4 linked regions of the Anolis sagrei genome follow. The protein of the gene in region 2 purifies or fractionates together with the protein of the main gene of each other region. This does not show direct contact. Links are inferred from orthologs where the notes say so. Each region holds a gene or a part of one and is shown on either strand. Other genes may lie near its edges. The genes, in order: DNAJB1, AMBRA1, NEK9 and HSPD1.

Region 1 (7,257 bases), on a different chromosome or scaffold from region 2:
GTTTGGTCTCCTTCTTTGGGGAATGTAATCTTAGTTCCTTCTTTCCAGCCACGTTTGACATCAATTGTTAGAATCTTATCTTCATTGCGTGTCGTTTTTCCATCTGGATTTAGCCGTTTGTGAGAAATTTTCATTTTCTTGGTGCATCCACTGTAAATTTCCTCCAAGGATACTCTCAGCTCGTGAGTGATGGGTGGATCTGGTTTCCTGCGAACATTTTCATGGCCCCCACGAGCACGGGAAAAGCCAATGTTGCCAAAGTTTTGAAAACCCGTGAAGGGGTCATCAATGTCCATATCTTCGTCACCATTCCTCTGAACAAAGAACGTATCAAAAGGATTCCGCCCACCAAAGAATTCTGCAAACATGGCATGAGGATCTCCATGAAAGGTGTAGGTGAATGAAGTGCCATTGGGACCACCTCCACTGCAGCTGGGACCACCTCCCTTTAGTCCTGCAATATAGGAAACACAATAAGCCTCAGCTTTCAGGTTACATTATCATTCAATATCAAAAAAGCCTAAGTATTATTTTTACTCATTTTACAGACATGTCAAACAACTGCATAAGGGTAATTAGAAATACTTCGAACAAATCTCACACCCAACAGCTAACTTCAGTACATTTGTGTGTTGTGTACCCTAGTGTCCAAATCATATAAAAAAACTACAATTCTCAGTTATTCACAAGATCTACTAAATCCATGCTCCTGGATACAAAGCTCAATTCAGAATGCATTTCACCTAATCTGTATACTTTAATAAGTATAAATCTTGCAGAAAAACAGTTCTACTAAGGAAAAGGTAGCACTGCAACAGATAAGCACAAGAACATGCTAGAATATTCTAGCAACGACTAGAAGACTTGTGTAACAAAAGCTCCACCTATCTCAGACAGCCTGTCATGCAGCCCAATAGATGCAGCCAAATTACTACAACACCCATTTAAAGGAAAATGCTCAGAATGTTCCATGAATGCCAGCTGTGCAATCGAAACAATACAGAAAAGCTATGGAAATTTACCACAATCTGTATAAATAAGTTGAGAGCTTCTCTTTTACGCACTAAACATTTCAACATTCTACGGAAGGGGTGGATGTTCTTCAGAACAAGAAAGTAAACATACAAAGCAAAAACAAATCCCTGAAGACACAAAGAGACTGATATGCAAAGCAGGACACTACAGAAATCCTACACAAGAGGGCTATAATTATTGCTAAATCTGGGTGATTTCAAAGTAGCCTTCCCTATCAGGAAGAGCCTGTAGATCAGTTGTTCTCAACCTTTGGTCTTCCAGATGTTTTCAACTAGAGCTCCCACTAAACCTAACAGCTGGTAAACTGGCTAGGAGTTCTGGGAGTTGAAGTCCAAAACTCCTGGGGGATGAAAATCTGAAACCCACTGCTTTAGATAATAGTGGATGTTGGAGGTTATAACTGGAACTATTTAAAGATGGCAACTCAACATTGGACTGCTTTCCAGAACCACAAAGTGAAATAACTCGTTCTTCAGCCCTTCTCGTCCACTTTCTACTTCAGGCATGGGCAAACTTCAGCCCTCCAGGATGTTTTAGACTTCAACTCGCCCAATTCCTAACAGTCTGCTTTTTCTACTTCATCCTTCATGAAAAAGCTTGGTTTGCTGTGAGTTTTCAGCATCGTCTTAACAGTTGCTCCAGAGGAAAAGGCGTCCAACTAGCTCTGGAAATTGGGGGTGATCATCAAGTAGACAGAAGGAGGCATCTCAAAATCGAGAAGGTCTTGCCTGGGCAGCGAGATCAGGGCAGAACAACTCAAACTGGCAACGTTTGTCAAAGGAACTTCAGCAAGAGGGGACACGGATTGCCTCCAATACCTGTGTGTGAATATTCTGCTTTCTACTCATCATTCCTCACTTTTAGCCAGTGTTAGTAAGATAAAGATTTCCCTTGACATTAAGTCTAGCCATGTCCAACTCTGGGGGGGTGGGGGGGGGGTGGGGTGGTGCTCATCTCCATTTCTAAACCAAATAGCCTGCGTTGTCCATAGATGCCTCCAAGGTTATGTGGCCGGCATGACTGCATGGAGTGCCATTACCTTCCTGCAGAAGTGGTACCTATTGATCTACCCACATCTTGCATGTTTTCAAATAGCTCGGTTGGCAGAAGCTGGGGTTAACAGCGGGGGCTCACCCCTCTCCCTGGATTCAAACCGCCAACCTTTCGGTGAGCAAGTTAGCAGCTCAGCAGTTTAATCTGCTGCAGCACCAGGGGGGCCTTTAGCCAGTTATTAGTTTTGATTAAAACCTTACAGGAAGTAATACCCAGAGATGTGCTGAAAAGAGACCCTTCCCCTCTCTCTCTCCTCTGCTCTTGGTGCCACAACGCAAACTCCCTGTGTACTTTCTCGTGAATGGCAGGGGAATCAACAACCTGAGCCAGCCATAGATGTGGATGAAACGTCAGGGACATGGCTATACAGCCCGGAAAACTCACAGCAAACCAAGCTGAAGCTGGTTTTCTAGGCTACACTCCAGGCTACATCTACACTGTGGAATGAATGCGGCTGGAGCCCACTTTAACGATATGGATCCCTGGCAGCTGCTGACAAGGCCCCTGGCTGCCAAAGAGCGCTGGTCCCTCAACAAACTACGCTTTCTGAAGAATCGAGCCGTGGCGAATAATGTGACGCCAAGGCGCATGCGCAGGTCCCTCCTGCCCCCCCCCCCCGGCCACCCCGCGGCCCCCGCGCACCTTCCTCGCCGAACTTGTCGAAGATTTCGCGCTTCTTGGGGTCGCTGAGCACGTCGTAGGCCTCGGCGATCTCCTTGAAGCGCTCCTCGGAGCCGGGGTCCTTGTTCTTGTCCGGGTGGTAGCGCAGCGCCTGCTTCCGGTAGGCCTTCTTAATGTCGTCGTCGCTGGCCCCGCGGGACAGGCCCAGGGTGCGGTAGTAGTCCTTGCCCATGGCTCGCCCTCACCGCCTCGGGTTCTAATGCCGGGCCGGGCGCGTCCCCTCCGGTTTTATACTGCGGGCGGAGGAATCTTCCAGAGCTTGCCACAACAATCTCCGCCTCGGCCCCGCCCATCCCTTCTGCCCTAGCCAATCGCCATCGAGCACTCTGTTCTCTCCGCCAATGGGGATCGACTGCGGGATGGGCAAAGCTTGGAAGTTAACGGCTGAGGGCGCCCACCTTGGGACTGAACGGCGGGGGGAGGGGGGGCATTCTTCGTTGGGCCGCCAACGGTCCTCGCGCTCGGGGTTCTTGAGATGCGCGCGCAGACAGTGGACGGGCCAGGAGTGGCGCGTGCCAAAAGAAACGTGTGGCCTTTGGGAATGAGAGCCGCCTCTTCCGTTAGAAACAGCTCTGGGTGCATCTGCATTGTGGAATGAATGCGGTTTGGCACCATGGTTTAGTGCTGTGGAATCATGGGACTTGTAGTTTGGAGAGTCACCAGCGCTCTCAAAGAAGAAAGAAGGCGTTGTAAAGCTATAATTCCTTTGACGGAATCATTGCAGTTAAAGTGGTGTCAAATCGCATCTATTCTACAGTGTAGATCAGTGGTTCTCAACCTGTGGGTCCCTAGATGTTTTGGCCCCCAACTCCCAGAAATCCTAACAGCTGGTAAACTGGCTGGGATTTCTGGGAGTTGTAGGCCAAAACACCTGGGGACCCACAGGTTGAGAACCACTGGTGTAGATGCATCTACCTGAACATGAGAAAAAATTGTTCAGCAGTAGAACTCTGTCCTGAGTGTGGTGGAGGCTCCTGTGGAGGCTTTTAAACAGAGGCTGGATGGCCACCTGTTGAGGGTGCTTTGGTTGTGCTCTTCCTGCATGGCAGGGGTTGGACTAGATGGCCCATGTGGTCTCTTCCAGCTCTGTGTTGTTTAAGACTTTCATGACATGGAATCACTGGGTTGCTGTGAGTTTTCTGGGCTGTAAGGCCATGTTCCAGAAGCATTATCTCCTGACGTTTCACCCACATCTATGGCATGCATCCTCAGAGGTTGAGGGGTCTGTTGGAAACTAGACAAGTGAGCTTTTTAGGTGATAGTATGATAGCTGGGCCCGGAAGCTCAGCATTACGGAGATGCTGCAAAGGCAGTTGTGAATAAGGGAAGAGGAGGCGGAGAGAGAGCGGGGAGAGCGAAGGAAGGATAGAAAGGACGGCATGCTTAGGGTTAGGGCAAGGTTTTGGGTTAGGGTTACTGTTGGGGGTTATGGTTAGAGTACAGTTTAGGGTAAGGTTTGGGTAGGGGTTAGGCTTAGGCTTACGCATACGGATCAGGGTTAGGGTAAGGGTTAGAGTTTCACCATTAAAGAACTCTTACATTCCTTCTAGAGTATCTGTCTCAGGCCTGGCTTACATTAGCTAAGTCTCTCTTGTGCAAACAGCGCTCCCAAAGGAGCGATGCGGCATCTCCGTAACACTCAGAGTTTCCAGACCCAGCTATCATACTATTACCGGTTTTTATATCTGTGGGATAATGTCCATGGTGGGAGAAAGAACTTTTGTCTGCTTGAGGCAAGTGTGAATGTTGCAACTGGCCACCTTGATTAGCATTGAATGGCCTTGCAATTCTGTTCTTCAATGATTCTATGCATTGTTTTTTAACAGAGGAGGGGGTTCTTATCCCCAAGACCACCTGTTGCTCTGACAGGTGCCACCTCCATTTTTTAATTGCTACCTGCCCCATGTTTATTTGGAAATATATCTAACATTTCTTCTTACGTACCTTTTCTTCACAATTAAGAAGTACCAAATTTTGTAACCATTTGGATTGCTCATGTTTGGATCATCTACTTGATGACTGTGGCCCAGTCTGTGTAGATGTGTTTTGAGTGTGTATATATTTGTTTATATGCGTACATATGTATGTTTGTGTATATATATGTGTGTGGTTTTGCACATGCGGTGTAATACATTTCTTGTTTTTTGGCATTTTAAGTCAAAAACTCTCACCCCCTGGGTGCTGTTTTTCAGTGTTTTATGAGTGATGGTCACTTGTTGGCCTGATACGTGTATTGTATCCAAATTTGGTGTCCATTTGTCCAGTGCTTTTTGAGTTATGTTAATCCCACAAATAAACATTACATTTCTATTTATATAGACTAACTGTCCCGCGTTGCTGTGGCCCAGTCTCTGTATATGTGCTTTGTGTGTGTATATGTGCATGTATGTGTGTATATATTTATGTATATGTGTATATACTTGTGGATGTTTTTTTTATTTGTTGGCTTTTTAAGTCCCTTCCACTGTGTTTTTATGAGTGAAAGTCACTTGTTGGCCTGATAGGTGTATTGTGTCCAAATTTGGTGTCAATTTGTCCACTGGTTTTTGAGTTATGTTAATCCCACAAACAAAAATTACATTTTTATTTATATAGACTAGAAGTCCCCTGCCACGCATTGCTGTGGCTCAGTTTGTGTATATGTGTTTTATGTGTGTGTATGTGTGTGTATATGTGGTTTTGCGCATGCGCTTTAATTTTTTTTGGCTTTTTAAGTCTTTTCTGCTGTGTTTCTCAGTGTTTTTTATGAGTGATGGTCACTCTTGTATTGTGTCCAAATTTGGTGTCCATTTGTCCAGTGGCTTTTGAGTTATGTCAATCCCACAAACGAACATTTTAATTTATATATAGATTGTACCATACTGTATTATATATTGAGGTTCCATGACCAAAAATGTGCACATTATTCCAAAATGCCACACCAAAAATGGTGTAAAGGAAGTATGGTTCTCTTCCCAATTATGCCCAGACCCAACATAGGTTTCACCGTGTTAGCAAACTCGGTCACTGTACTTGTAGACGACATTGAATTAATGATTCAGGACGGTGAAATCCCAGGAGGACAACAAAGAGCACCCAGTGCTTCCGTAATGGGACTTTACGCAGGAATTTCCACTCTTTGTTCACCTCCTTGGCACTGCTTCTCTATGGTGTTTAATTTGACCCCTGGGTGGGGCTGGTATGGTGGAGGGAGGTTGCCTTCCAGTTTGCAGTCCAGCCCTTGGCTCTTCTCCCAGGCAGCAGATAAAAAGTGGCAAAAGTCACTTCAATGCTGGCTTGTTTACAGCTTCTAGGTGTTAAGAAACACTCATTCCTGATTGATACCATTGTTCAAGGTGTCCACAATCTGAGGTCCCGTCTGTACTGATCATTTAATGATTTCCTATGTAATCATCTGCACAGTGAAAACACTTTCTTCAATACCAGTTTGAGACGGCATAAGATGAGATCTAAGAGAGATCCTTCCCAGAAGTCAAGGGAGAAAGATCAAATCATTACCACAGAGGACTCACTGAAATCTAAACAGATAGCATCAAACAATAATTGCAATGTTTTCCCCTGTTTCCGTCTTTCTTCCAACGCCCGAATATCTAACTAGCACAGTATTTATAAATGGAGTCCTCCCATTGCCTTTTGAAAGGGAAGTAGTTTTGAGATGTGTGCAGTCTGTAGCAGATTGATAAGCCTTAACCCACGTTTCTATACAGCTAGCCCTCCGTATCCATAGATTCTTTACTATGGATTCAATCACCCACGAATTAAAAATATTTAAAAAGAATCCTCCCAACAAACTTTGATTATACAATTTTATATAACTACACTATATATAGCTGTGTTGTACATCAGCTGCCAGAGGCTGGTGGGTTAACCGATGATTTAGAACTTTTAAACAGAGGCTGGATGGCCATCTGTCAGGGGTGATTTAAATGCAATATTCCTGCTTCTTGGCAGGGGGTTAGACTGGATGGCCCATGAGGTTTCTTCCATCTCTGTGATTCTGTGCAGGGCCTCAAGGACATTCAGGGGAATAAAAAGGTGCGACATTAGATAACGAATCGAGTGAAGAGCTGAGTGATAAAGAGGCTTTCCAGGGGAATCCACCTGTAGCTACGGAGATCAACAAAAGTCTTTGTTTACAAAGAACAGCTGAAAATAGATTGCGTCGTTCAGAGAGATTACGTGGGAAAGTTGTGAAGGAAATTCACGGGAAACAGAATGATTTCATGGGTGTCTATTAAACAAGTTGTTTACCTTAAGGTCATTCCAGGCAATGGTGCATTAGAGTGAGAAACTAAATCTGAGTTCTCTTGTTCCTGGTTCAAGTCAAGCGTTGATTTTGAATTTGATATAGCCTGAAGTTTTCTATGTTCCTGTTCAAGTTTTACTATTTATACCTTCTTGATTGTGGACTTATGCTGTATCTGTGATTCCTGGTTGTTCCTGGACTTTATCACCTCTGGAACTTTATGAGACATTTGGATTATTGTT
Region 2 (7,961 bases):
TAACAGCAGCCTCTGTGGTACAGACAGACAGATAGGTATATGTTGAAACACACAAACATATATTTCTGGAAGATAAATACATGCAATTACAAAAATAAACCTGTACTACAGGATTAAAACATCATTTGAGATTGCTGGCTGACTGTTAACAAAAACAAATTAAGGATTAAATTATAATCCAACCCTATGGTGTCTCAGAAATAAAACACTGTTTGTAATCAGGCTTCTTTGAAGTTTCTTTTTTGGAAGGAAAGTGGCCTCAACTTTTTCAAAGTAAGGTGAGTTTTCCAGGGTTTTTAAAAGCCTATAACTCCACAGCAGCATTTGCCAGCATGGTGAAAAATTAGGGCAAATGCAGTTCAAAAAACACTGGTAAGGACATGGTGCCCATCCCTCTTCTGAAGTACCATGAGGTTGTTCTTCTGTATTTTGTTGTTATGTAACTTCTAAAATGACCACATTTTTTCCCAAGTGTCTTGGTCTGTGTGATATATCGGCGAATAATGTGTGCAGATCCTTTGCAGTGGACAGATGGTAATTTTGTCAGCGCTGATTGTGTTTAAGTGCAGACCAAGGTCTTTAGTCACTGCACCCAGTGTTCCGATCACCACTGGGACCTTTACTGGCTTGTGCGAGTCTTTGTTTATTATTATTATTATTATTATTATTATTATTATTATTATTTGAAACACAACAAGATTAGTACATAGTAAACAAGATCACTATGCTGGCTGTTGTACTGGATCACATGTCGGACACATCCCAAGTGTCTAGGTCTGCGATATATCGGCGAATAATGTGTGCAGATCTGAGTAGGATGGCCTTTTGCAGCTGATAGATGGTAATTTTGTCAGCACTGATTATGTTTAAGTGCAGGCCAAGGTCTTTAGGCAATGCACCCAGTGTGCCGATCAATTAGATCAATTCCCAAGTATCTAGGATTACGTGACGGGCACAATTCAAAGTGCTGGCTTTAGCCTATAAAGCCCTAAATGGTTCTGGTCCAGCTTATCTATCCAAACGCATCTCATCCTACGAACCCACCAGGAACTTGAGATCGTCAGAGGAGGCCCTGCTCTTGTTCCCGCCTGCTTCGCAAGCACGTTTGGTGGGGACGAGAGACAGGGCCTTCTCTGTGGTGGCCCCTCAGCTGTGGAACTCCCTGCCTAGGGATATTAGATCAGCCCCCTCCCTCCCGACCTTTCGAAAAAGAGTGAAAACTTGGCTCTTCGAGCAAGCATTTGGAACCTCAGGATAAACAGACAAACTTGAATCGGAAAATGACTCAGGAACGGTTAAGACGATGGAACGGATGAGGATTTGAATATGAGGACATAGTTTTTAAAATGTTTATTATTCATTGTTTTTATGTCTCTAAATGTACTGTAATGTTTCTTTTTTGCTTTTTATCAATGTATGTATTTTATATATGGCATTGAATTATAGCGACTTTGTATGCCGCTCTGAGTCGCCTTCAGGCTGATATGGGCGGGATAGAAATAGTGTAAATAAATGAATAAAATAAATGTACTGGCAAATAATAATAATAATTGCTATTACCAAACACAAATATTATATAGGTCAGGCAAAGGCAAACTTTGGCCCTCCAGAAGTTTTGGATTTCAACTTTCACAATTCCAAACAGCCCACCAAATTATGCGAGTCCAAAACACCTGGAAAGCCAGTTTGCCCATGCCCGGTCTAGATGTTAGGAAGGATTGTATTGGTTCATGCAGATATACATGTATAGATATTTGTTTCACAGTCCCCCCCCCCCCCAATATTTTTATTAGATAGACTAGCCGTCCCCTGTCACGCATTGCTGTGGCCCTCATGGGGGTTCTGTGTGGGAGGTTTGGCCCATTTCTATCATTGGTGGGGTTCAGAATGCTCTGTGATTGTAGGTGAACTATAAATCCCAGCAAGTACAACTCCCAAATATCAAGATTCTATTTTCCCCAAACTCCACCAGTGTTCACATTTAAGCATATTGAGTATTCGTGTAGAATTTGGTCCAGATCCATCATTGTTTGAGCCCACAGTGATCTGTGGGTGTAGGTGAACTACAACTCCAAAACCAAAGGACACTGCCCTCCAAACCATTCCAGTATTTTCTGTTGGTCATGGGAGAACTGTGTGCCAAGTTTGGTTCAATTCAATTATTGGTAGGGTTCAGAATGCTCTTCGATTGTAGGTGAACGATAAATCCCAGCAACTACAACTCCAAAAAGACAAAATCAAATTTTGAGTGAAGGACATACATTGGGTTGTTAGGAGTATTGTGTCCAAATTTGGTGTCAATTGGCCCACTGGTTTTTGAGTTCTCTTAAGTCCACAAACGAACCTTACATTTTTATTTATATAGACTAGCTGTCCCTGCTACGCGTTGCTGTGACCCAGTCTGGTGATCTGGAAAATAAAGTAATGAGAAAGTGTCAGGAAGGCTCTGATTATGTTTTCTTGCCCCGGTGAAGGGATTGGACTGGATGGGCTTAAGTATTTTCTGTTGGTCATGGGGGTTCTGTGTGGGAAGTTTGCCCCAATTCTGTCGTTTGTGGGGATCAGAATGCTCTTTGATTGTAGGTGAACTATAAATCCCACTAAATACAACTCCCAAATGCCAGTGTCTACATCCCCCAAACTCCCCCAAACTGTGTTCATATTTGGGCATATGGAATATTTGTGACAAGTTTAGTCCAGATCCATCACTGTTTGAGTCCACAGTGCTCTCTGGATGTAGGTGAACTACAACTCCCAAACTCAAGGTCAATGCCCACCAAACCCTTCAAGTGTTTTCTGTTGGTCATGGGAGTCCTGTGTGCCACGTTTGGTTCAATTCCATCATTGGTGGAGTTCAGAATACTCTTTGATTGTAGGTGAACAATAAATCCCAGCAACTACAACTCCCAAATGACAAAATCATTTTTTTTAGTAAAGGACATACATTGGGTTGTTAGGTGTCTTGTGTCCAAATTTGGTGTCAATTCGTCCAGTGGTTTTTGAGTTCTGTTACTCCCACAAACGAACATTACATTTTTATTTATATAGACTAGCTGTACCCACTACGCGTTGCTGTGGCCAACCTTCCCTCTTTCCTTGCTTCCTTCACTCCCTCTTTCCTTCCTTCCCGTCTTTCCTTCTCTTCTTCCTTCTCTATTATCTCTTTCCATCCTTTCTCCTTTTTCTTTGTCTTCTGCTGTCTTTTCTTCCTTCTCTCTTTCCTTCCCGCCCTCTTACTCTACATCTTCCCCCCTTCCTTCGCTCCCTTTCTTTCCTTCTTTCCCTTTTTTCTTTCTTTCTCTAACTTTCCTTCCTTTCCCCTTTTTCTTTCCTTCCATCTTTCTCTCCTTCCATCCTTCTCTTTTTGCTTCCATGCTTCCTTCTCCCTTTCCTTCTTTCTTTCTCTCCCTCTTTCTTTTTTTCTCCCCTTCCCTCCCTCTTTCTTCCTTTTTTCTGTATTGTCATTTAGTATTTGGGGCTTTTTAAGTCCCTTCTGCTGTGTTTTTCAGTGTTTTTATGAGTCAAGGACTGTGCTGTCGCATGCTGGGCCTGTACATCAGACTGTAGACAGGACATAAATTCTGTGTGCCCAACAGGACGCCAGGGCTGCCTCAGATTAAAGGCCTTTGGATTTCCTTAAAACAGAGTCTTTAGATTGCTTAAAGTTTCAACAATGTTCTTTATTAAGGAAAACAAACAGATACTTTAAGGCTTTCTTAATGGTCTATCGGCTCTTTCAATCTTGTCCACAGGGAACAGGCACTATCTTCTTAACTGTAACTAATGGGGAAATCCTTAACTTCTAATCTGGGCAGTCTGTCTTTGCCTCTGTTGGCGTGGAGCCCCTGCACCCGGTACCAACTGCGTCTTGCTTCCGCGAGTGACCCTTACCAAGCAGAGCTTGGTAGACTTCCAGGGGGAAAAAAGGAGTTCAGGTTTCAATGATGGCTGGCTGATGTCCTTGAGCAAAGGAGCTGTAAGGCTGTACAACCCTGGTCAGGCTGTAGGCTGTATATCTCCCCGGCCAAGCCATAGAAGAGAAGACGAAGCTTTCTACAGGAGCTCTTGGTTTTATGTCCTGTGCGAAAGGCTTCTCTGTGTGGACTGAACTCAAAAAGGCTCCTATTCCCTCCAAAAACCCAAAGGGGGCGGGGCCAGGGAACCTAACTATAATGATTGCAGCCAAAAGAAGCCACCTATCTGCAGAGTCCCTGAAACTTAGGACTATAACAAACATTAAATGCAAAGTAAGGAAAATTGGAGCTCCTGGGACAGCTGTTCCAGAACAAGGACATACAATGGGTTTTTAGGTGTCTTGTGTCCAAATTTGGTGTCAATTCGTCCAATGGTTTTTGAGTTCTGTCAATCCCACAAACTAACATTACATTTTTATTTATATAGAATTTTTTACATTGAAAGTGGGAGAACATATTCATTTTAGATAGGAAAGTAGGAATGTAAAGAAACTGAGTGCGAGAGGAAAGAGAAGAACCCATAAGGGAATGGACAGAAATGAAAAAAATTAGAATAAAAAATAAAATAAAATTGTTGACTTCTATCTAAATTAGAAGGAAGTTTCATAGTTTTTGATGAATATATACATAAATAAATAAAAATAAAATTGTTGCCTTCCATCTAGACTAGAAGTTTCATAGTTTTTGATGAATATATACATTGAAAATAAAAAACATATTGATCTCCAAAACTAATTATCGAATCCCCCCCCCCCCTTTCCTTAAAAAATAATTTTTCCCCACGTTGGGAACCAGAAGTGAAGATGCCCCTTCAGATGCCAGCCTCCTCCTCCTTCTCCTCCTCCTATGACGAGGACTCTGGGCTCGCTTAGTTACGCCTTGCTCCTGTTTTATGCCTCGGCCGTTCGATTGCCTCGGCGTTCGCTGGCGATCCATTCGCTCGGCGCTCGGCTAGGCGCCCTGGCCTTGGTAGTAAGCGGCGAGAGGGAGCGAGAGAGAGAGAGGCTGCAGTGGGGAGAAGAGGAAGGCGGAGGAGGAAGAAGAAGAGAAAAAGAAGAAGCTTGCCGGCGGATTTGAGGCGTACTCTTCCCGGTCCGGACGAGGCCTTTCGAGTACTTCGGCCTCGGAGACCCCCGCACGACGCCTCCGGCCTTCCCGGCAGCCGGGCGCGCTAGGCCTCACCACCACTCCCTAGTTCAGGTAGGCTTCGGGCCTAGAAAGGCCGGGCCTGGTTCCTCTGAGGGGGCTCTTGAGGCGGAAACGGCGGCTCTTCAGGGTGGAGGGGCCCCCAGGGAGGTCTTGTGGCCTGGCCTTGAGGGCCGTCGGGGCCTTGAAGCCTCGGGGCGGCCTCCTGGAGGGGAGGCCGAGATCCCCGGGTGGGCGGGTCCCCGCCCACCCGGGGATCTCGGCCTCCCCTCCAGGAGGCCGCCCCGAGGCTTCAAGGCCCCGACGGCCCTCTCAGGAAACCCTTCAGTGCCTCAATCCAGGCCCTGAAGCCTGTCTCCCTGAGACACCCCTCAGGACGAGAATCCGAGGCCCACCCACTCGCCTTCCTCTTTCCCCCGTGAAAGAGGAACTTCCTCCTTTGTAAGTTTTTGCTTCATTGATAGTACTTACTAACCTTGTTGTTCTCTTTCAGAGCGCGGAAGCACAACTCTTTTCCTTCCCCCCGCCTTTTCCGACTCCTCCCATGTTCCCCCTTTTTCTTCTTCCTCAAAAAGATCCAGAGAAATTGAGCTTTGTTTTGGACACAGTACCTTAAACTAAGACCCAGGGCCCTTCCACACAGCCCTACATCCCAGAATACCAAGGCAGAAAATCCCCTAATATCTGCTTTATTCATTATTTTATTTATTATTTAAAACTTTTATATCCCGATCTTCTCAACCTCCATAGAGGGACTTAGACTGGCTTACTGCAAGGATTCAGTGGTAATAGTACAATCTAAAAACATCATATAATAACGAGTTAAAATACATGTCGATTAAAATTACAAATAAGCCAAATCACCAGGGTAAAATCATGTCCAACTCAGTCTGTATGTGTGGTCAATAACTTTGTTCTGTAGCCGGTTTCAACCATTACTCTGGGAATGCTTCCTTCCATAGCCAGGATTTCACCAGCCTCCTGAAGGACAGGAGGGAGGGGGCAGATCTGATCTCAATCGGAAGAGAGTTCCATAGCTGAGGGGCCACCACAGAAAAGCCCTGTCTCTTGTTCCCACCAGATGTAATTGTGAAAGTGGCAGGACCGAGAGCAGGGTCGCTATCTTGTCTCTCATTCCTGCCAGACGCGACTGTGAAAGTGGCAGGACTGAGAGCAGGGCCCCACCAGAAGATCTTAATTGTTTGTTGGTTCATAGGGGAGAATACATTCGGACAGGTAAACCAGACTGGAACCGTTTAGGTTTGAACTAGGTTATCTGAATCCACACATAGATAATATGGAATATTCTGCCTTGATGTTCTAGGGCAGGGGTCCTCAGATTTTTTTAAACAGAGGGCCAGGTCACAGTCCCTCAAACTGTTGGAGGGCCAGATTATAATTTGAAAACAAAAACAAAACATGATTGAATTCCTATGCACACTGCACATATCTTATTTGTAGTGCAAAAAACCCACTTAAAACAATACAATAATTAAAATGAAGAACAATTTTAACAAGTATAATCTTATTAGTATTTCAATGGGAAGTGTGGGCCTGCTTTTGGCTGATGAGATAGGATTTTTGTTGGGCTATTGTAGTTTTTTTCGGGCTATATGGCCATGTCCTAGAGGCATTCTCTCCTGACGTTTTGCCTGCATCTATGGCAAGCATCCTCAGAGGTAGTGAGGTCTGTTGGAACTAGCAAAAAGGGTTTATATATCTGTGGAATATTAAATATTAAAATAGAATTAAACATGGGTTGTTGTAGGTTTTTTCGGGCTATATGGCCCTTTGTCCCACCCTGGTCATTCCACAGATATATAAACCCTTTTTACTAGTTCCAACAGACCTCACTACCTCTGAGGATGCTTGACATAGATGCAGGCGAAACGTCAGGAGAGAATGCCTCTAGGACATGGCCATATAGCCTGAAAAAACCTACAACAGTCCAGTGATTCCGGCCATGAAAGCCTTCGACAATAGGATTGTTGTTGTTGCTGTTGTTGTGTGCTTTCAAGTCATTTCAGACTTAGGTTGCCCCTGAGTGAGAGCCAGGTAAATTATCTTAGAGGGCTGTATCAGGCCCTCGGGCCATAGTTTGGGGACCCCTGTTCTAGGATATAGGGCTGTGTGGAAGGGCCTCACAGAATACAAGCAGACCCCAGGTTATGAACAAGATAGGGTCTGGTAGGTTTATTCTTAAGTCGAATTTGTATGTAAGTTGGAACAGGTACATTTCAGCCAAAAAATCTATTTCTTAGCTTTGGCTAGCATAGGGAAGGGTCAGCACCCTTGTGGTGTTTGTTTCGCTGTCTGTGCCCCTGTTCAGAAGATTTTGCCTCACTTTCTGCCCCTGTGATTATTTCTTTATTTTATATTTTATTTATATCCCACTTTATCTCTTTAGACAGAGACTCGAAGAAGCCTTTTGGATATTGAAAAATGTATTTTTAAATTATTAAAAATTAATTGTATTTTGAGAAATGTTACTTGTGGAAACAGGAACTGGTGATACAGCAGTGGTTCCCAAACTTATTTTTGACCAGGAACCACATTGACCAAGGTCCGCTCTCCAACATTAGTATCAAAAGAGTTACAAATCAGTTTTTTGTCGACTTTAGATTTAAATTGCTTATTTGGGGTGCTGATTCAGAAAACTGCATTGGATAGAACACAACAGCTCTAGTTTCTGATACAGAACGCATGCAACCCAGTAGTCAGCATCTGCTCACCCACAGAAAACCATATTTAATAAGCCTCGGCACTATAAGAGGTTTTTACAAGACCAGGCACTCTCGTTGCAACAGTGTGGTAACAGTGAGGCCGCAAACCATATTTTAG
Region 3 (7,488 bases), about 26 Mb from region 2:
GACAAGTGAGGAGCTCTTGAGTTCATTTCTCAAGAAAAACCATTCTCAAATATTTTGAAAATAAAGATTTCACATCTGCACGAAACCACATGTTGATTGGATGACAACTGCCAACTATTTTTTGTACTCCATAATAGTCCAGAAACGTAGGCATTTAGAAGACAGAAAATAATTGTCGGGAGACAGGGAGTTGGAAAAATGTTATCTGGACCATCCACAGCAAGTAGAAAGCTAGCTGAAATATCTGTCCTTTTCCAGTTCCTTATTTCAAAATATGGGATAAATGTTGCCCTATCTGACAAAAGGGTAAACTTGGCAGCCAGGACAAAAGGCAGACAGATTAGAAAGGATTCTGTATATGGAAACACAGTTGGATGACAATTTATCGTATATACTCATATAAGCTGACCTCGTGTATGTGTTCACGGTAGGTCTTGGGTGAAAAAAATATGGGTTTTGATACAACCCATTGATAAGATGAGGGCCATTCTACACATGACAGCCAGGTTTACATTTTCAAAAGGATTCCAGCTTGAGGAGAAAGCAAGCTTGTTTTCTAGTGCTCCAAAGATAAGGGCACAACGGGGCAATGGATTCAAATTACAGAAGAGAAGATTCCACCAAAACATTAAGGAGAACTTCCTGTCAGTAAGAGCTGTTTGGCAGTGATACATGCTACCTCCTTGGGAGTGTGGTGGAGTCTCCTCCTCTGGAGGTTTTTAAGCAGAAGCTGGATGGTCATCTGTTGGGAGTGCTTTGATTCTATGATCCTGTGTGACAGAAGGAGGTTGGACTGGTTGATCCTTGTAGCATCTCCCAACTCTATGATTCTACAGATTCTGTAAAGACTTATTCTAAACCATAAGACACAACTCTGGTCACAAATCTGTGAGCAACAAATCTTGTCACACAAATTAAAACTGAACTATCTATTCAGTATCTCTGCAGAGAGGGGAAAGCATCAATGCTACCCCAGGGCGAGCTGCCCTTGGCCTCCGCCACCATTCTCATCAGGAGAGGTGAGTAATAAAGAAAAATTATTATTATTATTATTATTATTAATATTAATATATAATTGTTGTTATTATTTCCACAGCCAGGGCCTCAAAAAGGCCAGAAGTGGTGCCATAGCAGAGAGAGTAGAGGAGATCATTGCTTCTTTTAGGTTCTACAGGGGTAGACTCAGGCTCCTTCTACACTGCCATATAAAATACATATGATCTGCTTTGAACTGGATTATATGGCAGTGTAAACTCATATAATCCAGTTCAAATCAGATAATATGGATTATCTGCTTTGAGATTCTGGATTACACAGCAGTGTAGAAGGGGCCTAAGTGCTTTCCTTTTGCCACTCTACTCAGAAAAGGGGATGGTTTCTTTTTTGATGAGGAATTAAGGTAAATAATAATAATAATAATTTTATTTCTTACCCGCCTCTCCTCCTGGCTCAAGGTGGGTTACAAAACGAAATATATAAACACAGCAAAAACACTACAAATACATACAATAAAATGTACCTCCATAAACACCACACACCAAAAGGCACCTCTAAAAAATACACATCAAAACAGACAAAACAGAGATCAAACAAAGAACATGCATTAAAAGGTTACACTGCACTTACCCTATAATCCTTACATATCACCTGTCACATCAGCACTTTTAATCCTGTACCCGTTACTCTGGCCCGGCCCAGTTTTATAGTGTCTTGATGTATTGTCTATTGCTTGTTGTTTAATATTGCTTTAATTGTTTTTAATTTGCTTTAGTTGTTGTATTGTTGTGTTTTGAGGCCTTGGCCTTTGTAAGCCGCATCGAGTCCTTCGGGAGATGCTAGCGGGGTACAAATAAAGTTAATAATAATAATAATAATAATTCTGTATCTTTGCATTTCATTTTTTTCTGCCTAAATGGAGTATCTTGCATTTGTCCCTGTTGAACTTCAGTTTGTTAGTTTTGGCCAATCATCTCTCTATTACTATTATTATTATTATTATTATTATAACTTTATTTGTACCCCGCTAGCATCTCCCGAAGGATTTGATGCGGCTTACACAGGCCGAAGCCACAAAACACAATACAACAATACAATACCTAAAGCAAATTAAAACAGTAAAGCAGAAAACAATAACAATAACAATACAACAAGACACTATTAAAACTGGGCCGGCCAGGATAGGGGTACAGGGTTAAAAGTGCTGAAGTGCCGGAAGGAATGTAGGATTATAAAGTAAGTGCAGCGTGCAGTGATCTTGGTTGGTAAGATTGTTTTGAATTCTGCTCACATCATGATTCCCATTTGTGTTTATGTTATTTCAATATGAGTTCCATTCTGTCCACTTTCTTTGATGTGACATGACATCACACTTTGTGTGTCAATTTCCCTTGCGCTACTTTTACATGACAACAAACCTGGGGCACACCTATGCTGTGGCACAGGTAGGGGCAAGCTTGGGCCCTCCAAGTGTTTTGGACTCCAACTCCCACCATTCCTAACAGCCTCAGGCCCTTTCCTTTCCCCCCCTCAGCCGCTTAAGCGGCTGAGGGGGGAAAGGAAGGGGCCTGAGGCTGTTAGGAATGGTGGGAGTTGGAGTCCAAAACACCTGGAGGGCCCAAGCTTGCCCATACCTGCTGTACCATTAAGGAACCCTTTGACTACCATGGAATCCTGGGAGTTGTAGTCTGGTGAGGCCCCAGCGCTCTTTGGCAGGCAAGGCCTTGAAAAACTACATCTCCCACGAGCCATGGCATTCCTTGGCAGTGTTTACCTCCGTCCGGCGGTAGAGCGTGGCCTCCCCGAAGGCGCCGCGGCCCAGGGTGCGGATGGGGGCGTAGTGCAGCTCCTCTTGCTCGCCAGCCAAGGCCGGGGCAGGCCGGGGGGCGCTGTTAATACTGTTAATGCTGCTGCTGCTGCGGCCGGAGGAGTCGTTATCGAAGTCGAGGGAGTTGATGGAGTCGCAGTGCCGCTCGTACTGGCCCAGGGACATGGCTGCAGCAGCGGCGGCGGCGGCGGCGGGGGAAGAAGCCAGGGCTGCTTCCTGCTCCCGCGGCGGCTCCTTCCCTCAGACTCCTTCGACGAGGCAGAACGGGCCTGGCCCCCTGCGCATGCGCATATACGCACGAGCCCCCTTCCTTCCTTCCTTCCCCTCTCGCGGCCTCTCCTCCCCCTCCTCCTCCTCTCCGCGACCCCCCCCCCTCCCCGCGCGTGCCTCCCGCTGACCCGGAAGCACTCCAGCATCGGGTGCCTTTCCTTCGGCGGAGGAAGTGGAGGAACGGAGCCGTTTCTTGTAAGACTTTGGGCCAGGCCTGGGCAAATTTGGGCCCTCTCTCCAGGGGGTTTGGACTTCAGTTCTTACCATTCCTAACAGCCCCAGGCCCCTTCCATGCTGGCCTTCAAAACATTACATTTATGTACCAGGCCTGGGCAAACTTGGGCCCTCCCTCCAGTTCCCACCATTCCTAACAACCTCAGGCCCTTTCCATACTGACTCTCAAGAAGCTACCCAGGCCAGGGCAAACTTGGGCCCTCCCTCCAGGGGTTTGGACTTCGGCTCCCACCATTCCTAACACTCCCAGGCCCTTTCCATATTGGCCTTCAAGAAACTACATTTATATACCAGGCCTGGGCAAATTTGGGCCCTCCCTCCAGGGGTTTTGGACTTCAGCTCCCACCATTCCTCACAGCCTCAGGCCCTTTCCATACTGGCCCTCAAGAAACTACATTTATATACCAGGCCTGGGCAAATTTGGGCCCTCCCTCCGGGGGTTTGGACTCCCACTATTCCTAACACTCCCAGGCCCTTTCCATACTGGCTCGCAAGAAACTACATTTATATACTAGGCCTGGGCAAACTTGGGCCCTCCCTCCAGGGGTTTGAACTTCAGCTCCCACCATTCCTGACAGCCTCAGGTCTTTTCCATACTGGCCCTCAAGAAACTACATTTATATACCAGACCTGGGCAAACTTGGGCCCTCCCTCCAGGTGTTTTGGACTTCAGCTCCCACCATTCCTAACAGCCTCATGTTGTTGTTGCCCTTCCACACAGCCATATCGCCCAGAATATCAAGGCAGAAAATCCCTTTGAACTGGGTTTTCTGAGTCCATGCTGTCATATATCCCAGTTCAAAGCAGATAGTGTGGATTTTATTCAGCTGTGTGGAAGAGGTCTCAGCAGGCCACTATTATCCTACTTTTGAAAAAAGGAAATGGAAGATGAGGGGTAGTGATCTTCCTGCAATTTGTTTTAGTATCCCCGCATGGCTTACTTGCCTTAGGGAGGGCAGTTTTTTTCTCTTTCTGTAGCTTCTATTCCCCAGCAATTCTCTCCCTGCCGAAGGGAAATTACTTGGCTCACTAGATAGCAGCACTTTGAAACATTCTATCTAGTTTCATGAGAAGTTTTTTCTTCAAAAGCAAGAAAAGTTTTCTCTTTAAAAAATAAAATAAGGGATCCTCAATCTCCAGGTTTGGAGGAGAGGTAGTTCTCCATCCCTTCATTGCTCTCCCTATGACACCCCCATTTCTTTATTCCTTCTACATCAACTTCTTGAGTATGCACCTACAAGATGGGATAGAGAATGGTGACAAGATATGTTAAGGAAACACAGCATTATAAGACAATCAATAGCTGCTGTTATGATAATACACAAGAGAAAGGGGAGACATACTTCCAGATGCTGGAATAAATATTCACTAAAAAAAACCCAACATGCTTTGACACATTAATATTCCAAGGCCGTTTTCAAGTGATGTGGGAGGAATAGGACAATGCTTAATTAAATAATATTATAAATTGTTTTTGTTGTGTACCTTTAAGTCAACCCAAAGTTACAGCGACCCTGTGATATGATGTTCTTGTCAAGATTTATTCAGGAGTTTTGTCATTTTCCTCAAAAGCTGATTATGACTTATGAAAGGCTGGGTAAAGATCTAAACCCTGATCTCCCCAAGTCTTGTCCAGCAGCCGAACCAGCAATACAACAGGTCAGTGTTATTATATTTACATGTTATTGCATTAACACATTACTAATACCTTGTACATACCTAGTAAAATCCCTTGAAATTTCTGATAAAGGGACTCCCAATACCATTTGGTAATCAAATGAAAACATGTGAATTAAAATTATAAATAAAGAATTCAGAGCATCTTCCGTCTTCCCTTTATCTTTTGGATTTTGTGTGATGTTCTTCCGTTTTTGCTGCTCCACTTAAAGCTTATTATGCTCTCCAGTTTTTGTTTTATCATCTTAAAATGTATGTATCTGCCGATACAAACGAGAACTTATTGAAACTAGTTTAAAAATCTGTATTTATGTAATATTTCTATTGGACCAATCGAAAGAGCACACAAATGTGCTCAGGCTTCCCAGAAACTTTATTAGAAGAAACTACTAAAGAAATCTGGGTTGGGGAAGGGGAAACCTCACTGCTTCAATCAGCAGCTGCTGCAGAGAGATTGGAGCATTGCAAATAAGACATTTGCAATGCAAGCGTGCTTCTTTTAAAGATTAGAAATATTCCATCCCCATAGACAAAAACAGTATACACCGTTGTTAGGTGTTTTCACATCATTTCTGATTTATGGTGAGTCAAAAATGAACTGATTATGGGGTTTTCTTGGCAAGATTTATTTGGGGGAATACCTTTGCCTTCCTCTAATGCTGAGAGAGTGTGACTTGTCCAAGGTAATCCAGTGGAATTCCATAACTGAGGAGGAGAGTCATTGTTTCACTTTCAAATCACTACACCTGGCTGCACCAGCTACACCAACCTTTAGTTGTATATTTCCTCCAGGACAATAATCAGTGTACACAGAAACCTGGGTGGATCTCTATCTTTTTATAATACTCAGTTATAACACAGTAAATGCACAAAGTAGAGGTGTGAAATTGGTGGTTCTCCACATCTTGCTGAACTGCAATTCTCAGTATTCCTCAGCACTGACTTTGCTGGTTAAGGTTGTTGGGAACAGTAGTCCATCAAAATCTGGATTGCTGCACAATTTCCACTCCTGAAAGAAATGCATGGCACAAAGCTTTAGACATTAAACTTCAGGGAAGATTTTATAAGGTGAAGTTGTACAAAAGAATTAATGCAGATTAGCACCACTTTAACTGGATCAATGTTATGGAATTCAGAGAGTTGTAGCTTGGGGATGCATTCGCACCCTTGGCACAGAAGTCAAGAAATATAAAATTACAACTCCTGGGATTCCATAGCGTGGAAAGATGCCAGTCAAAGTGAAGTCAAACTAATTCATTAATTTATCCATAATGTCATATTCCAGGAAGACTGGGGGGACTAGTGTATGTGAAAAAAGGGTTGAGTTCAGTGTGTGAGAGAAAGTGAAGACAATTATTTTTCGTGTCAGGAGCGATCTGAGAAACTGCAAGTCATTTCTGGTGTGAGAGGATTGGCTATCTGCAAGGACATTGCCCAGTGGACACTCGGATGTTTTACCATTCTGTGGGAGGAGTCTCTCATATCTCTGTATGAGAAGCTGGAGATGACAGATGGAAGCTCACCCATTTCACACCTCTACTTTACATGGATCTAGAAACAAGTTGTATAGCAATACCAGCACATTGTATGATAGAAGTTTGGCTCAGAGTCAGCATTGCCATTTCCTAGCATTGTGAATATTTTCTTCTGGCACAGCTCCTGTTCTTTTCAGCAGCTGCGTGACAGGAAGGAATCCAGCAGCATAACCATTTCCCAAGCAAGGAGTGATGCAACAATGAGAAAGCAATCTTGTGCTGACTTTAAAAAACATTAAGCAGGTATTGAGAGTGTAACATTTCTGACAATTATTATCTTGCGTAATCCTATTAATTTTCTGTCTCACCTATTTTATTTTTCATTTATTTGTATTGTTTCTAAGCCACCCTTCTATTTCTCCCTTGTGTGATAAGTCTGGCTGAGAGATACAGACTAGTCAAAAGCCAGTGATCTTCTTGACTGCATGACAATTTAAACTTGATACTTTTGAACCTAATCCAATACTTCTATTACTACAGTACAGTCTGGAAATAATGTTGTCTTTATGTGAGACTGTCACACATTGCATGATGTGTATTTAAGCATTCATTTATGTGGCATCACATAAATAGGATGTCTGTAGGTGGAGATTATTACATTTAGATGAGGCACTTTGGAAGTTTCTCATTGAAATAAAACACAACACCTTTATTAAACAAGCCATTGATAGTTATATTAACAATAAATAACAATAGATACATTATTCTAAGCTCCTTTCATTGCCCTTTTAAAATTATAATCTTGCAGTATTAATGGACCATTCTAAACTGTCTCAAAGCAAAGGAAACCAATGCATTGTCAAAGTCTTTCATGGCCAGAATCATTGGGTTGCCCTGCATTTTGCATTTTTCGGCCATGTTCCATAGCATTCTCTCCTGATATATCGCCTGCTTCTATGGCAAACATCTTCAGAGGTTTGTTCAGAGGTCTGTGGGAATGCATATTAA
Region 4 (7,432 bases), about 100 Mb from region 2:
CAAATTACAACTCCTAGGGTTCCATCGCATTGAACCAGGGATGCAAAAATGGGCCCAAACTACATTAATTCCGGAGTGTAGATGGACCCCGTATCTCATTCCAACAGTGTCTATTACAGTTGGTGTCTGAGAGAGCTATGCATTGAGCTTTTTCACCCCCCCCTCCAAAAAAACCCTTTTGCACATTTCCTCCTATGATCTCTTTGCCTTTGGACCGAAGTGGGGGGTGGGGAAAGAGAAGCACAATTTACTGAAACTAATCTTAGGTGACCCAGGATGGTGTAGTGCAGTCGTTCTCAACTTGGGGTCCCCAGATGTTTTTGGCCTTCAACTCCCAGAAATCCCGACAGCTGGTAAACTGGCTGGGATTTCTGGGAGTTGTAGGCCAAAAACATCTGGGGACCCCAGGTTGAGAACCACTGGTGTAGTGGTTATGTATTGAACCAAGATTTTGAGGGACAGGGGTTGAAATCTTGGCTCACAAAAATCCACTTGGTGGCTTGGTCACACTCTCTCAGCCTCAGAGGAAGACCAAGGCCATTCATTGCTGAACAAATCTTGCTGAATCCACCAAATATGGAGCTTATGGTTCACACACGGGCAAACTTTGGCCTTGCAGGTGTTTTGGACTTAATCTCCTACCAGCTGTTTGGAATTGTGGGATATGAAGTCCAAGGCGCCTGGAGGGCTGAAGTTTGCCCATGCCTTTTATACGATTTTTGGTATGCACTGCAAGGATGGAGATAGTCAAAGAATGAAAACAATTAGAGAATGTTTCTAAACAGAATAGAGAGTTTGTCTGAGTATGAATTGGTAACAACTCCAAAAAGGTACACAACTTTATGGAAGTACTGAATACCATCAACTTCTTTCACCCCACCCCGCCTTTCATCTCAAAACTGGTTGAGTCTGTATCAAAGTCAGAGGAAAGCAAGAGCATGGACTCTGGTAGATGGGTTAACTTGGGTAGAAGATAAAATGAAGCAATGAAGAAGAAAGGGAGTACAACTTGATGCAAAGGGGGCGGTGTGGGTGGGCAGAAGAGGGGAAAGTCCAAGGAGCAAGCCAAGCATATCTTGGGGCCCCACGTGCGCTTTCCTCGCCATCCGGTCGCGCCGCACAAGGTCAAATGGAAAGAGGAAGAGAAAGGCCTTGTGCGCCCCCTGGAGGCCGGAGAGCGGCGCTGCAAGCACCTTTGCAGACTCCTCCTCTTACATAGCCAGAGGCACCCAAATTTGAAAAGTAACACACAGATCAAGGCTCATAAAGGCTCATCGGAGGCCCCCTTCTACCCTGATCATTTAATGATAACCTCCCAAGACAAGAAACCCCCGCAAAAGGCGTGCAAAGAGAAAGTCCTTCATGACCTCCAGGGCTTCCTATGTGTAATCAACCTGTCTCAGAAACATTGAGGAGGAAGAGACCACATGCATGTAATCACTAACAGATGGCCACCTGACCTCTGTTTAAAAGCCCCCAAGGAAGGAGCTTGCACCACACTTCGAGGCTGAGAGTTCCACTGCTGAACAGCTCTTACAGTCAGGAAGTTCTTCCTAATGTTCAGATGGAATCTCCTTTCCTGTCATTTAAAGCCATTGTTCCTAGTCGCCCAGCCTCTGTTTAATAATAACAACAACAATAATAATAAACCTTTATTTATACCCCGCTAACATCTCCCGAAGGACTCGGTGCGGCTTACAAGAGGCCGAGGCCAAATGCAACAGTAAAACAATAGCATAACAACTACAACAATAACACCACGACACAGTTAAAATCTAAGGCCGGGCCAAATGTAATTATTAAAATATTTAAAAATGCTGGACATAATCAAGTGAAATGGTTTTTGGAGATAGATGCAGTATGCAATTAATCTTAAATCTCTAGTAATGTGCATTTGAGACATGATGCTTGGAGTTTCCTATTCTGGGAAGGCACACTGGAACAACCACATCTTCAAGCTCTTCCTAAAGACTGCCAACGTTAGAAAACTGCATTAATTAAATAAGCAATCACTGCATCTTACTGCTGGAGAAAATAACAGGTGGGGCTTGGGGGGGGACCAGCCCAATTCTAAACCAAGTCAATTCTGGGATGTGTAGTTTTGTGAGAGATTCCGCCTCCTGTCTCACACTCTGGCAAATGAAACACGTGCCTCTTCAATACTTTTAGTTCCCTTCTACACTGCTACATAATGCAGATTATAAAAGAAAATAGTCCACATTTATCTGCTTTGGATTAAAGGAGTCTGCACTGCCATATAATGCAGTGCAGAGCAGATCATCTGGATTTAATATGGCAGTGTTGGGTCCTTTCCACACAGCTGTATACAATCCACAGTGTGGAAAGGGCCTTAGAAGCCACGCTGCAGAATCATAACTTCTTTAAACTGCCCCCTGTGGGATGTCTCATTCCTGTGGGATGTTTCATTTTGTGAGATATTTAGCCTTTTCTTTCCAATTATAAACCCTATAATCTATAAATTCTATAACCATGTAGTGAGAACACTTAAAATGGTATTGAGAGGCCATTATGATATTATTACATCATCCTGGGGATGGGAGTAGTCGCAGGCCCCTTCCACACAGCTGAATAAAATCCCACATTATCTGCTTTGAACTGGAATATGGTTCAATGTGTGGATTGAGATAACCCAGTTCAAAGTGTGGATTGAAATAACCCAGTTCAAACCAGATATCGTGGGATTTTCTGCCTTGATATTCTGGTTTATATAGCCCGCAGTCCAACCCTTTATTCCGTTGGCTATACTCTAAAACTCCTAAGCAAATAAAACCAACACTCATTTTCATAATACACCTAAAAGGAAACTCAGAGATTCCCCCCCCCCCCCGCAAAGGTACCAATTCCCTAGTCCCACGCTTTCCCTCGCTCTCAGCCGGACCGTACCACTTTCCTCAGAAGGGGTGACGGCTGAAAAGAACTCCGAGACTTTCCCCTTATTTTGCACCCCCTACTATGTGAGGACTTACTTGCAAGAGCAGCGGGACGATCAAGGGAAGGCAGAGAAGCTGCTGCTGAGCCACGCGCGCACGCAGCTCGCAACCCCAGCGCGCGACTCTCACGTCTCGCGACTGCACCCTCCGGCCCCGCCCCCTTCTCCCCTCTCCCTCCGGCCGCATGGGAGAGGCCCCGGAACCAGCCTAACCGCACACCCTCCCGCCGTGACGTCACCCAGGCGCAACTTTCCTGCGAGTGAGTCTGTGGGCGGGGCCAGCCGAGGCTTGCCTCGCGCGCTGTGTGGTTTATTCAGATTCCGGGGCCGCCGGGTTCGAGAATTTTCTGGTAGGCCCATGCTCCGCCAAAGGTCGCGGGAAGCATTTCGCAACTTCCGGAGGCCATCCCTGCCTTTCCCCTTTGCCCCCTGAGAGAAAAGTATTAAAACTAGGAGGATTGCGAGTGAGCAAAGCAACCCGGCCAAGGATCTGTGTGAAATTGACTAATTATACATCCAAAGGGTGTTTTCTTTCTCGCCCCCCCCCCCGGTTCCCTCTTTCATAGCCACAGGAAGCAATAGTTCCCCATCCCGGACGGGGTGTGGCGAGCGCATGCGCAGTGTGCCACGCTTTCCTTTTTTTCACGTGCGTTCCTTCTCTGCGGATTGGACGGAGCGCGCGAGCCGTCGCGAGGAGGAAAGAGCAGAAGGGCGCGCGCCATGGTAAGGCAAAGGGAGGAAGGGGGAAAAATATGTGGTCCTTCTCTATGGGCCCTTCCACACAGCCCAGGATATCAATGCAGAAAATCCCACAATATCTGCTTTGAACTGGGTTCAGATAATGTGGGATTTTCTGCCTTGATATTCTGGGATGTAGGACTGTGTGGAAGGGCCCTCTGGGGTTGGACTGGATGGCCTTTGTGGATCTCCTACTACCCCCTCTATGAGTTACACGTGGGGATACTGGAGGAGTAGGTTCTCTTTATCACAGCCACTATGGCCTTCAAAAGAGCCCCCGTTTTCAGAAATTGTGTTTTTTCCTTTTTTCCTGCGAATGGAAGAAGGTTCAAGGACACAACATGGAGAAAACCGCATGATAGGATTGTCGTGGGTTTGCCATAAATCAGAAACTACTTGAAGGCAAAGAAAGGTATGGACCTTGGGAAACTATAATTCCCAGGACCACATAGTAAGGAGCTATGATATTTAAAGTGGGGTCCAAGAGCATTCATTCCATAGTGTAAGTGCACCAAAAGAAGGATATGGTCTTTGGGAAACCATAACTTCCAGGACTGCACAGCATGGAGACATAGCATAATAATCATCACCCAGACATATCATGGAAGGAAGGGAAGGAAAGGACCTATGGCCTTCAAAAGAGCCCCCGTTTTCAGAAATTGTGTTTTTTTCCTTTTCCCCCTGCGGATAGAAGAAGGTTCAAGGACACCGCATGGAGAAAACCGCATGATAGGATTGTCTTGGGTTTGCCATAAATCAAAAACTACTTAAAGGCACACAACCACAAGACGATTCAATCAAAGAAGCTATAGTGCTGAGTTTTCAGGATCTAAGCAGGGCAATTATAGTTTTGGGTGGTCTCTCATTTATGTGAATCCATGGGCCCTTCCACGCGGCCCTCTATCCCAGAATATCAAGGCAGAAAATCCCACAGTATCTGCTTTGAACTGGGTTATCTGAGTTCACATTCAGATAATGTGGGATTTTCTGCCTTCATATTCTGGGATAGAGGGCTATGTGGAAGGGCCCATGGATTCACATAAATGAGAGACCACCCAAAAGGGCCCTCTGGGGTTGGACTAGATGGCCTTTGTGGCGTCTCCTACCCCCTTTATGAGTTACACGTGGGGATACTAAAGGAGGGGGTTCTCTTATCACAGCCACTACAGCCTCCAAAAGAAATTGTGCTATTTCCGTGGTTTTCCTGCGAATAGAAGAAGGTTCAAGGACGCAGCATGGAGATGTAAAAACTCCAAGCTAACCCAACAAGGATCTTTCCTGTCAGGATATGTCTGATGGTGAGGGCATACTTTTGCAGATGTGTTGTCGAAGGCTTTAATGGTCGGAATTGCTGGGTTGCTGTGAGTTTTACAGGCTGCATGGCCATTTTCCAGAAGCATGCCCTCCTGTCATTTCGCCCACATCTATGGCAGAGGATGAAGGGTCTGTTGGAAACTAGGCAAGTGGGGTTTATATATCTGTGGAATAATGTCCAGGGTGGGAGAAATAACTCTTGTCTGCTTGAGGTACGTGTGAATGTTGCAATTGGCCACCTTGATTAGCATTGAATGGCCTTGCATTTAAGTGTGGGTGAAAGGTCAGGAGCAACTGCTTCTGGAACATGGCCATGCAGCCCGGAAAACTCACACCAACTGACCCTTCCAGATATTTTATTCAATCCTAGGGTCCTTCCACATAGTCCTCTATCCTAGAATATCAAGGCAGGAAATCCCACATTATTTGACTGTGGACTCAGATAACCCAGTTCAAAACCAATATTGTGGGATTTTCTGCCATGTTATTCTGGGATATAGGGCTATGTGGAAGGGCCCCTAGAGTTTGGAAGAGACCCCAAAGCTCATCCACTCCAACCTCATTCTGCCAGACAGGAACACACAATCAAAGGCCCCTTCTGCACTGCCATATAATCCAGATGAGCAAAGAAGCTAACTCATATTATATGCTTTGAACTGGATAACATGAGGGCCTTCCACACAGCCATATAAACCAGAATATCAGGGCAGAAAATCCCACAATACCTGCATTGAACTGGGTTATCTGAGTCCACACTGCCATATATCCCAGTTCAAAGGAGATAACGTGGGATTGTATTCACCTGTGTGGAAGGACCCAGAGTCTACAGTGCCATATAATCCAGTTCAAAGCAGATAATCTTCATTTTATATTGCAGTGTAGACAGAAGTCTAGGCATCCCTGACAGATGGTCATTCAGCCACAGCAGCTGAAAAATTACCTCAGGTACATAGGTATATAAAATAGGTATACAAATACAACATTTACTGCTAACAAATTTGCACTTGCAGGGCTTGCTAAACAGGCTGAATTTCCTTTTTATGAAGCCTTTTTTGCAATTGGCTGAAAGCACTACACCTGGTTACTAATAGATTTGCATTCAGACCCAAAGCAGATAATCCTACATTATCTGCTTTGACCTGGGATATATGGCAGTGTGGATTCAGACAATCCCATTCAAAGCAGATATTGTGGGATTTTCTGACTTGATATTCTGGTTTATATGGCTGTGTGGAAGGCCCCTCAGAAGACTTTTACTTTTGCCCATGTTTTGGCTTTTTACTTTTTTGTGACACCCAGCATTGAGCTAATGGGACCCCATTTGGGGTTAGGATCCACAGTTTAAGAAATCTTGGCCTTGGGGTGTGATTTTATATGCTTTTATGTTTTTAACCTCGATTGTTTTAATATGAATGATGTTAAAAACCATTTTAATATTTGTATATTTTAAGTTGTGTTGAAATGTTTTTTGCTGTGTGCCACTTTGAGTCTCCATAAACAAAATAAATGATAAATAAATAAATACGTGGTCACCAATATTTCCATTACAGTGTTTGAAGTATTTCTGAGCAGCCTTGTAATTGCATGCCCTCTGATTGTTTCTTTTACTCAATACACTTGACAAAATCCTTTAATTTTGCAATCTGTTTTCTCAAGTGGGAACCTACACATGAGGAAACACATTGTTATGGAAGGCAGGGGTTCATGGTTAGAGACAAACTTAACTAAGGTTTGAAAATGCCTAAGATCACATGATGGTCAGAACACGTGGATTAATGTTCTGCAGCCGTTCAGTGTGCAGGATCTACTTTTTGCCCCAGTGGTGGTAAAGAAGCATGTAGTGCACATATCTAAATGGATTTGGTGCTTGATGAGAGATTGGTGGCAACTACGGTAGTGTTTTAAAAAAGAGCATTTTCAGTTTTCCAAGTGTAAGGAGTTTGTTGTGTGCCCTCAAGCCCTTTCCAACTTAAAGGTGGCCCAAGGTAAGTTTATGACAGGGGTTTCTGGGGCTCAAGGTCACCCAGTGGGTTTCCATTACTAGAAGGAAAATAATCTTGGTCCCCAAAGCTGAAGTCCCAACATTCAAATCACTACCTCACGCTGGCTCATAAGGAGTTTACTTGTCTGCATTTTTTGGATACAGTCTTGATTCCAGAGAAGTTTAGCTGACTTTGTCAATAGTAATTGCCGTTTAAACTGCTTATTTACTTAAGAGTGAGAATTCTTAGTAGGGGAACGAGTTTTGAAACTTTTAAATAAAATATGGTTATCTGAGTCCACACTGCCCTATAATCCAGTCCAATGTGGATTTTATCAAGCTGTGTGGAAGGGGCCAACACCACAAAGTTCCATATCTGCCCTATGGACTGGTAGCTAGATATTAGGGAGATATGTTTGTGTAGGATTTATTTTTAGCTTTAACATTGT

Evidence for each region.
Region 1: the proteins of AMBRA1 (region 2) and DNAJB1 purify together in Homo sapiens (affinity purification with mass spectrometry, with the first as the bait; 3 studies listed by BioGRID). This does not show direct contact. The link is inferred for Anolis sagrei from reciprocal best matches to the Homo sapiens genes AMBRA1 and DNAJB1.
Region 3: the proteins of AMBRA1 (region 2) and NEK9 purify together in Homo sapiens (affinity purification with mass spectrometry; 3 studies listed by BioGRID and IntAct, with this or other methods). This does not show direct contact. The link is inferred for Anolis sagrei from reciprocal best matches to the Homo sapiens genes AMBRA1 and NEK9.
Region 4: the proteins of AMBRA1 (region 2) and HSPD1 purify together in Homo sapiens (affinity purification with mass spectrometry, with the first as the bait; 3 studies listed by BioGRID). This does not show direct contact. The link is inferred for Anolis sagrei from reciprocal best matches to the Homo sapiens genes AMBRA1 and HSPD1.

Annotation. Positions count from the first base shown.
Region 1 is NC_090022.1:128,013,343-128,020,599, reverse strand, and holds the start of DNAJB1 (dnaJ homolog subfamily B member 1), read right to left. Parts: upstream 3,052-7,257; 5' UTR 2,942-3,051; coding exon 2,731-2,941; intron 455-2,730; coding exon 1-454. UniProt on the Homo sapiens protein: Interacts with HSP70 and can stimulate its ATPase activity. Stimulates the association between HSC70 and HIP. Negatively regulates heat shock-induced HSF1 transcriptional activity during the attenuation and recovery phase period of the heat shock response.
Region 2 is NC_090021.1:279,053,397-279,061,357, reverse strand, and holds the start of AMBRA1 (activating molecule in BECN1-regulated autophagy protein 1), read left to right. Parts: upstream 1-4,907; 5' UTR 4,908-5,174; intron 5,175-7,961. UniProt on the Homo sapiens protein: Substrate-recognition component of a DCX (DDB1-CUL4-X-box) E3 ubiquitin-protein ligase complex involved in cell cycle control and autophagy.
Region 3 is NC_090021.1:305,016,770-305,024,257, forward strand, and holds the start of NEK9 (serine/threonine-protein kinase Nek9), read right to left. Parts: upstream 3,118-7,488; 5' UTR 2,990-3,117; coding exon 2,771-2,989; intron 1-2,770.
Region 4 is NC_090021.1:178,708,958-178,716,389, reverse strand, and holds the start of HSPD1 (60 kDa heat shock protein, mitochondrial), read right to left. Parts: upstream 3,104-7,432; 5' UTR 2,988-3,103; intron 1-2,987. UniProt on the Homo sapiens protein: Chaperonin implicated in mitochondrial protein import and macromolecular assembly. Together with Hsp10, facilitates the correct folding of imported proteins.